2 linked regions of the Xenopus tropicalis genome follow. The protein of the gene in region 2 purifies or fractionates together with the protein of the main gene of each other region. This does not show direct contact. Links are inferred from orthologs where the notes say so. Each region holds a gene or a part of one and is shown on either strand. Other genes may lie near its edges.

Region 1 (3,814 bases), on a different chromosome or scaffold from region 2:
ATACCATAAAACTATGGCACATAGGGATTCCCCTGTACTAAGCACAATTCAGCAGGAACAGCCCCCTAAGTTTGCTCATAGCCTGTACGTACAGCAGCACAGGTATATAGGTAAATACACATTAGGTACCTACCCGGGGTACCTTGTTGCTGCTGCTGCTGGTGCTGCCGCTTTTCTTTTTTTCATTTTTTGCAGTCTCTTCATTTTCATCCTTTTCCGTTTCTCTCTCGCGCTCCTTCGACTTCTTGTGTCTGTATTTGATCTCAAGGTGCGGGTGTTTGTCTGGCACGTGGGCAAAAGGCACACCTTTATATATTTCTACTGCCTCTAACCCCCACCGGAACTGCCCCCCACATCCCCCGCCCCTACCGGCCTCTAACCCCCACCGGAACTGCCCCCCACATCCCCCGCCCCTACCGGCCTCTAACCCCCACCGGAACTGCCCCCCACATCCCCCGCCCCTACCGGCCTCTAACCCCACCGGGAAACTGCCCCACACATCCCCCGCCCCTACCGGCCTCTAACCCCACCGGAACTGCCCCCCACATCCCCCCGCCCCTACCGGCCTCTAACCCCCACCGGAACTGCCCCCCACATCCCCCGCCCCTACCGGCCTCTAACCCCCACCGGAACTGCCCCCCACATCCCCCGCCCCTACCGGCCTCTAACCCCCACCGGAACTGCCCCCCACATCCCCCGCCCCTACCGGCCTCTAACCCCACCGGAACTGCCCCCCACATCCCCCGCCCCTACCGGCCTCTAACCCCCACCGGAACTGCCCCCCACATCCCCCGCCCCTACCGGCCTCTAACCCCCACCGGAACTGCCCCCACATCCCCCGCCCCTACCGGCCTCTAACCCCACCGGAACTGCCCCCCACATCCCCCGCCCCTACCGGCCTCTAACCCCCACCGGAACTGCCCCCACATCCCCCGCCCCTACCGGCCTCTAACCCCACCGGAAATTGCCCCCCACATCCCCCGCCCCTACCGGCCTCTAACCCCACCGGAACTGCCCCCCACATCCCCCGCCCTACCGGCCCTCTTAACCCCCCACCGGAACTGCCCCCCACATCCCCCGCCCCTACCGGCCTCTAACCCCCACCGGAACTGCCCCCCACATCCCCCGCACCTTACCGGCCTCTAACCCCCCACCGGAACTGCCCCCCACATCCCCCGCCCCTACCGGCCCTCTAATCCCCACCGGAACTGCCCCCACATCCCCCGCCCCTACCGGCCTCTAACCCCCACCGGAACTGCCCCCACATCCCCCGCCCCCTACCGAGCCCTCTAACCCCCACCGGAACTGCCCCCCACATCCCCCGCCCCTACCGGCCTCTAACCCCCACCGGAACTGCCCCACATCCCCGCCCCTACCGGCCTCTAACCCCCACCGGAACTGCCCCCACATCCCCCGCCCCTACGGCCTCTAACCCCCACCCGGAACTGCCTCCCACACCCCCGCCCCTACCGGCCTCTAACCCCCCACCGGAACTGCCCCCACACATCCCCCGCCCCTACCGGCCTCTAACCCCCACCGGAACTGCCCCCCACATCCCCCGCCCTACCGGCCTCTAACCCCCACCGGAACTGCCTCCCACACCCCCCGCCCCTGCCATAATGCCCCTTGGTGCTTACCTCGGCATTGCACGCAGTACCACTCTCGTATGGCCTTTGCCATCTTCTCGGTGATGTTGATGCAGTGCCCGTGGAACCATTCGTTACAGTTGTCACAGCCGCTGCCGAGAGACAAACCAGGATAGAGATCAGGCTGCAGTGGGCACGGTGTCAGCTTAGGGGCATTATATGGGCTGTTAGTGGCATTAACGCCCCCCCTGGCTAGATGAGGGGTGCATGTTGCTATGGAATGACCCCCCCCCCAATCACACACGTGTATTTCTCACATCATGAAGCAGTTGATATCCGGCTTTCGGCAGATACAATACACCGGGGCGTTCTCTCCATCCTCCGTGTCCCCGGCCGCAGTCAGGTCCGCGTCTGAAAATTCACTCTCCTGGGGCAACAAAGAACCCCCCCATCAGTAACTGCCACAGTGGCTGTGCCCTATCCCCACTACTATTTGTACTAAGGGGATCAGGAAGGGAAATGTGCCTGTTGCAACATGGGGAGGGGGGGGTCCTATTCCTCATAGATTGTGAGCTTCTGAGTATCATTCCTTCCCATGGGCAGAGTGTCTTTACCCTTTCCATCTCTTGCTTCTACCCTAAAAGGTGCCAGGCTGGCATAGTATAACCCCCTGTTCCCGTGGGGCCCATTAGTACAATGCTGGGGGGGCAGTGCCAGTGTGACACAGTATAACCCCCTGTACCCGTGGGGCCCATTAGTACAATGCTGGGGGGCAGTGCCAGTGTGACACAGTATAACCCCTGTACCGTGGGGCCCATTAGTACACATGCTGGGGGGCAGTGCCAGTGTGACCAGTATAACCCCTGTACCCGTGGGGCCCATTAGTACAATGCTGGGGGGGCAGTGCCAGTGTGACACAGTATAACCCCCTGTACCCGTGGGGCCCATTAGTACAATGCTGGGGGCAGTGCCAGTGTGACACAGTATAACCCCCTGTACCCGTGGGGCCCATTAGTACAATGCTGGGGGGGCAGTGCCAGTGTGACACAGTATAACCCCCTGTACCCGTGGGGCCCATTAGTACAATGCTGGGGGGGCAGTGCCAGTGTGACACAGTATAACCCCCTGTACCCGTGGGGCCCATTAGTACAATGCTGGGGGGCAGTGCCAGTGTGACACAGTATAACCCCCTGTACCCGTGGGGCCCATTAGTACAATGCTGGGGGGGCAGTGCCAGTGTGACACAGTATAACCCCCTGTACCCGTGGGGCCCATTAGTACAATGCTGGGGGGCAGTGCCAGTGTGACACAGTATAACCCCCTGTACCCGTGGGGCCCATTAGTACAATGCTGGGGGGCAGTGCCAGTGTGACACAGTATAACCCCCTGTACCGTGGGGCCCATTAGTACAATGCTGGGGGGCAGTGCCAGTGTGACACAGTATAACCCCTGTACCTGTGGGGCCCATTAGTACAATGCTGGGGGGCAGTGCCAGTGTGACACAGTATAACCCCTGTACCTGTGGGGCCCATTAGTACAATGCTGGGGGGGCAGTGCCAGTGTGACACAGTATAACCCCCTGTACCCGTGGGGCCCATTAGTACAATGCTGGGGGGGCAGTGCCAGTGTGACACAGTATAACCCCCTGTACCCTGTGGGGCCCATTAGTACAATGCTGGGGGCAGTGCCAGTGTGACACAGTATAACCCCTGTACCTGTGGGGCCCATTAGTACAATGCTGGGGGGCAGTGCCAGTGTGACACAGTATAACCCCTGTACCCGTGGGGCCCATTAGTACAATGCTGGGGGGGCAGTGCCAGTGTGACACAGTATAACCCCCTGTACCCGTGGGGCCCATTAGTACAATGCTGGGGGGCAGTGCCAGTGTGACACAGTATAACCCCCTGTACCCGTGGGGCCCATTAGTACAATGCTGGGGGGGGCAGTGCCAGTGTGACACAGTATAACCCCCTGTACCCGTGGGGCCCATTAGTACAATGCTGGGGGGCAGTGCCAGTGTGACACAGTATAACCCCCTGTACCGTGGGGCCCATTAGTACAATGCTGGGGGGCAGTGCCAGTGTGACACAGTATAACCCCCTGTTCCCGTGGGGCCCATTAGTACAATGCTGGGGGGGCAGTGCCAGTGTGACACAGTATAACCCCCTGTACCCGTGGGGCCCATTAGTACAATGCTGGGGGGGCAGTGCCAGTGTGACACAGTATAA
Region 2 (4,294 bases):
AACAGGAACCTACTCAGTTTATTTGTTATCCGCTATGTAACCCGTGCCTTTTATCTTTTAAATGGCTGCCCCCATGGCTACAGTTACACAGGTTTGTTTATATAAACTATAGCAGAGTTTCACACAACTTTTACTAGTGCAGGGTAATAGCAAATATTAATTACTTTGATACATTTATATTTTTTTGTGTTACTGTTCCTTTAATGTTACTATTTCTTTAAACAATGACTACCAGGTTAAAGCATTGTGATACTGATAAAATGGTTTTCTGCAAAACTAAAATCTTAATAAATTACTGCAGATCTTTGGAGTAGTTGCCAGAGGCTGTAGTTTTTCCACAGCAGCAGGAACTCCATTCACTCTGTTGATGGCCATAAAATGAACAGCAAAGACAAAGCTTCTGCTGGTGAAGTTACACTACTTACTTGCAATATTAAAAAAAAACATGATTACCAACTGACACCTATTTGCCAACAGGAGACTACTACATCTACCGATTGAAATTCTAAGCTTTTTGCAGATGTTGCTGTTTTAGGGCATACACATAGCTACTGATGTGCACAAATCATTAATTCCTAACATTTCACTTATTCCATGTGTTGTTTGGACAAATCTATAAACAGCCATACTATAAGAAATGTGCATGGCGGTGCCAACACAGTCACCTACATCAGGAATATGCTAAGTCTGTGGCTTTATTATTAAATAAAACATAAATTTGTCAGTGAAGCCCAGTCTACAATTCTGTATATACAGACTATGACTACCCTCCCCCTTACCAGCAATAATCAAAGGAGATGTAAACCCAAAAATAAAACTTATGAAAGAAACTGCACATGGGAATTGCACATTTTCAGAGCTACAAAGACAGAACCAGCAGTGCAAATGGGACAGACAGGTGCTTCTTTGAAAATTAATAATATTTACAGATAACTGTAAACATATTTATATGTTCTGATTAATTTATACTGGAAGAAAAACTTAAAATGGCATTTCATTTAATTGGGCAAAATTGCATTTGGTTTTGTAACATTCCCTTCAAGCTACAATAGCCAGCACTGCTCAGAGTTGTACCTGAACAAAAGCAGGGATTGGTGTAAATAACCCTACAGCACACTGTATAATACTTAAAAGGATTAAAAACAATGAACAAGGTGAGCCGTTGTGGAGTGTATAAAATAGATGAGTGAAAGTGCTACAAAGTAGCAGGAAACTGACAGGAGTAAGAAAGTTTAGTGATACACAGGCCAGGACTGCAGTCTCCTAGCAACAGACAACACTTTCTCTACACGTGACTCGCTGGTACTGGGGACTGAGCGCAGTAGAGCTCGGTGGGTTACTGCACAGGCAGCAGGACCGGGAAGCCCCTGGCGCCCTAACGCACCCACCTTTCGTGTCCAGCTCAACGTGAATGATGTTGCCCATGACCGAGGTGTTGTGCAAGTGTTTCACCGCGTCCCTGGCGCCCTTCACGCTGGCGAATATGACTTTGGCAATGCCCAGGTGTTTTTTATTTTTGGGGTTATAAAGGATCTCCACCTCCTCCACCTCCCCGTATTTCTTGCACATGTCCCCCAGGAAGTTTTCGCGGATGTTATCGTTTAGTTTGGCAAACGTCACCTGCTTGGGGGGCACTGGCCCCACATAAAACTCATCGATCTGCAATGACAAGGAGGGATGGAATTAAAGAGGGGGGGACATGGGGCGATCATCGGGGCAGTAGGTCAATGCCTGCCAAAGCAAGCGAACCAATTAACGCATTTGGCTACAGTACAGCGATATCAATCTAACGGCAAAGCAAAGTCGCCTACGGCAGGCGATTCTCCAGCTGTTTGATGTCCTACTGCTCCCAGCATTCCAGGGCAGGCCGGCTTTCCCTGATAAGCTGCGAGCTGTAGCGCAAGAACCGTTGCTGGGAAGCCACATGTTGCACTTCTCAGACAGACGTCTGGCCAAATGCTCTCTGCTGCCTACACATGGGGGCATGCTCATCACTTATAGTACTGATAGCAGGCAGTCTGCCAATTAGCATCATCCGAGAGAACTTCATACATTGAGCAATAATACCTTAAGTTTGGGGACAGGCAAATCCAACTCTTTAGTTTTGGTCCATATACGTCCGATCCGGGGATCTCTTACTGAATCCACAGGGGGGACCCCGGAGTTCTGCGAAGAAATAAGACAGTTAGTAAACATATAAGCCCCCCACCCCACCACACACTGTGCAAGAGGGAAGCTGCACTCGCTGACAGGGGCACACTATACGGGATGCACTTGTCAAGTTCCACGCATGGGCAATGCATTACAGCAGGAGAAGGCTCAGCCGAGGGATCCCTGGGATCAGACCACTAATACTTAATGTTAGGGAGCCACAAAGCGAAACCATTGCAAAGAGAGAACTCCCCCCCAACCCCAATACACACACGAGCCGGGAACACATACAGGCATGCTAAAGCTGAGCCCATCGTAACGATAGAGTTTGTGCTGCCCCTTCCTCAGAGCAGGGTCAATGATCAACTTGTAACTCCGCCAATGGTGACTCTTCTTCTCGCCCGAAGTACTGGGCTGGTTGCCTGCCTCCATCCCGTTGATCCAGCCTGCAAGCCACAAACAGAAGAAATGAATAGTGGAGCTGGGGCAGTCCAGCAGGCAAAGCTCTACACACAATGGCAAGCTACAGCCCCAGTGTGATCTCTATCCCCTCAGCCTCCATGCCTGCTACCGCACGATACACTATACAAGATCCATTCTCACTTGCAGTCTGCTTTCTGCCATGGTCTTCTGGGTTCTTGCCTCTCTCCCCAGGCTTGGCCTCCTTGAAAGACATGCCTGCCCGCCTTCCCCACTCCCCCAACCTCAGCTCTCCTGCGCCCAGGGCTATCTCCTTGCCCCGCAGGAAAGGCCAAGCCGCTTCACAGGCCCCTTCCCCGGTTACATGACATGCTGTGGAAGGGACCCTGGCTGCTCCTTTTTGGCGAGCCAACACATATTGTGTGTGAGCTGTGCTTCTGCTCGCTCTGAGGCGGCCCACAATGCACCGCGTCCTCCGCCTCCCTCCTCTCTCTCCCTAGCCAGCCAGAAGCCCCGGGAACAAGTCTTCCTCTTCCGCCTAGCACATTCGTCACATCAAGTGGCGCTGCTAAATTTAAATTTAATGTCTATTTACTAATCGTTGTTTTAATGAAATGCGTGCATTTATTGGAAGAATTAAATGAATTCACTTATTTAAACTATGTAGCGGAGAGAAGTGTTTTATTTCTCCCGTCCCATTTCCAGTCGAAAGCTGGTGCAATGAATGGGTTAATTTATGGCTATGAGTACTTTGTGCCGGTATAGATATACCTATATAATTTATACTAATAGGGGGTTTGGTATTTTAACTATCCTATTCGGTATTTAACAGGCGAAATCGGGATGCCCTCGGTTTCTCCCAAGGGTCCGGCATTATTTTGTAGGGCTTGGAATTCCCCCGTTCTTTATCAGGCTACAAGAGGACCGCGGGAGGGGGGAGACTTGATTGGAATCTGCCGTATTGGGTTTACATGGCGCCCTTAAACAGTCGTTGGACAAGATTGATTTGGTGTAGTTTGGTTTGGCACTGTGGGGTAATGGTGTCCCCCCCACGATCCCATGAATCGGACGTTTATATCACGGCTAACTCGGAGTGTTTCCCAGCCGCTCATGTGTCCTCCCCTTTCTCCTAGGGGGATAGTACATATCCATGAATTAACCCCGGGCCAGCATTCTCTTCCATTTTAATTAACCCAGAAAAGACTGGGACATGGGTACGTAACGTTCTGTTAGGCGGCCACGGCCAGTTCCTCTGTTGAGAGGGGCAAAGATATGTACATGTAAGGTGATTCGTGATTCGCGCATTAAATAATTGGACGCTAATAAAAGGTAATTCTATGTCTTATCCTTTTTAGACATTGTAATTTAGACATGCCAACATTATCCGTAAGCGCTTCCCTGTGTTTGTTATTTACCTTCGGTTATAGATTAATTTTTGTGTTGTGTTGTGTTGCTGTGTGTGTGGGTGCCCCCCCTTCTTGGGTCTTGGCCACGATGACGTCAGCGGCTGGCTTAGAGGCTCTCCCGAATGCTGCAGCCAATCAGTGCGCAGCTTGCATCTGCCTTTGAGTTATTATTGTGCACTGCGAAACATCCTTCATCAGAGTCACAAGGAGAGGCTAACTGAGCAGGCAGCCATTATCTGCCATGGAATGAAATGGCTGTGTGTGTTTCACCCTTGGTGTTTTGACTTTGTGCTTTAAAAAAAAGGGATCCTTTAAAT

What was found.
Region 1: the proteins of setd1b (region 2) and cxxc1 purify together in Homo sapiens (affinity purification with mass spectrometry; 11 studies listed by BioGRID and IntAct, counting the BioPlex papers as one, with this or other methods). This does not show direct contact. The link is inferred for Xenopus tropicalis from reciprocal best matches to the Homo sapiens genes SETD1B and CXXC1.

Annotation. Positions count from the first base shown.
Region 1 is NC_030684.2:1,159,266-1,163,079, reverse strand, and holds part of cxxc1 (CXXC-type zinc finger protein 1), read right to left. Parts: intron 2,014-3,814; coding exon 1,904-2,013; intron 1,739-1,903; coding exon 1,638-1,738; intron 283-1,637; coding exon 134-282; intron 1-133. UniProt on the Homo sapiens protein: Transcriptional activator that exhibits a unique DNA binding specificity for CpG unmethylated motifs with a preference for CpGG.
Region 2 is NC_030677.2:162,156,638-162,160,931, forward strand, and holds the start of setd1b (histone-lysine N-methyltransferase SETD1B), read right to left. Parts: upstream 3,064-4,294; 5' UTR 2,828-3,063; coding exon 2,755-2,827; intron 2,598-2,754; coding exon 2,443-2,597; intron 2,167-2,442; coding exon 2,068-2,166; intron 1,660-2,067; coding exon 1,389-1,659; intron 1-1,388. UniProt on the Homo sapiens protein: Histone methyltransferase that catalyzes methyl group transfer from S-adenosyl-L-methionine to the epsilon-amino group of 'Lys-4' of histone H3 (H3K4) via a non-processive mechanism.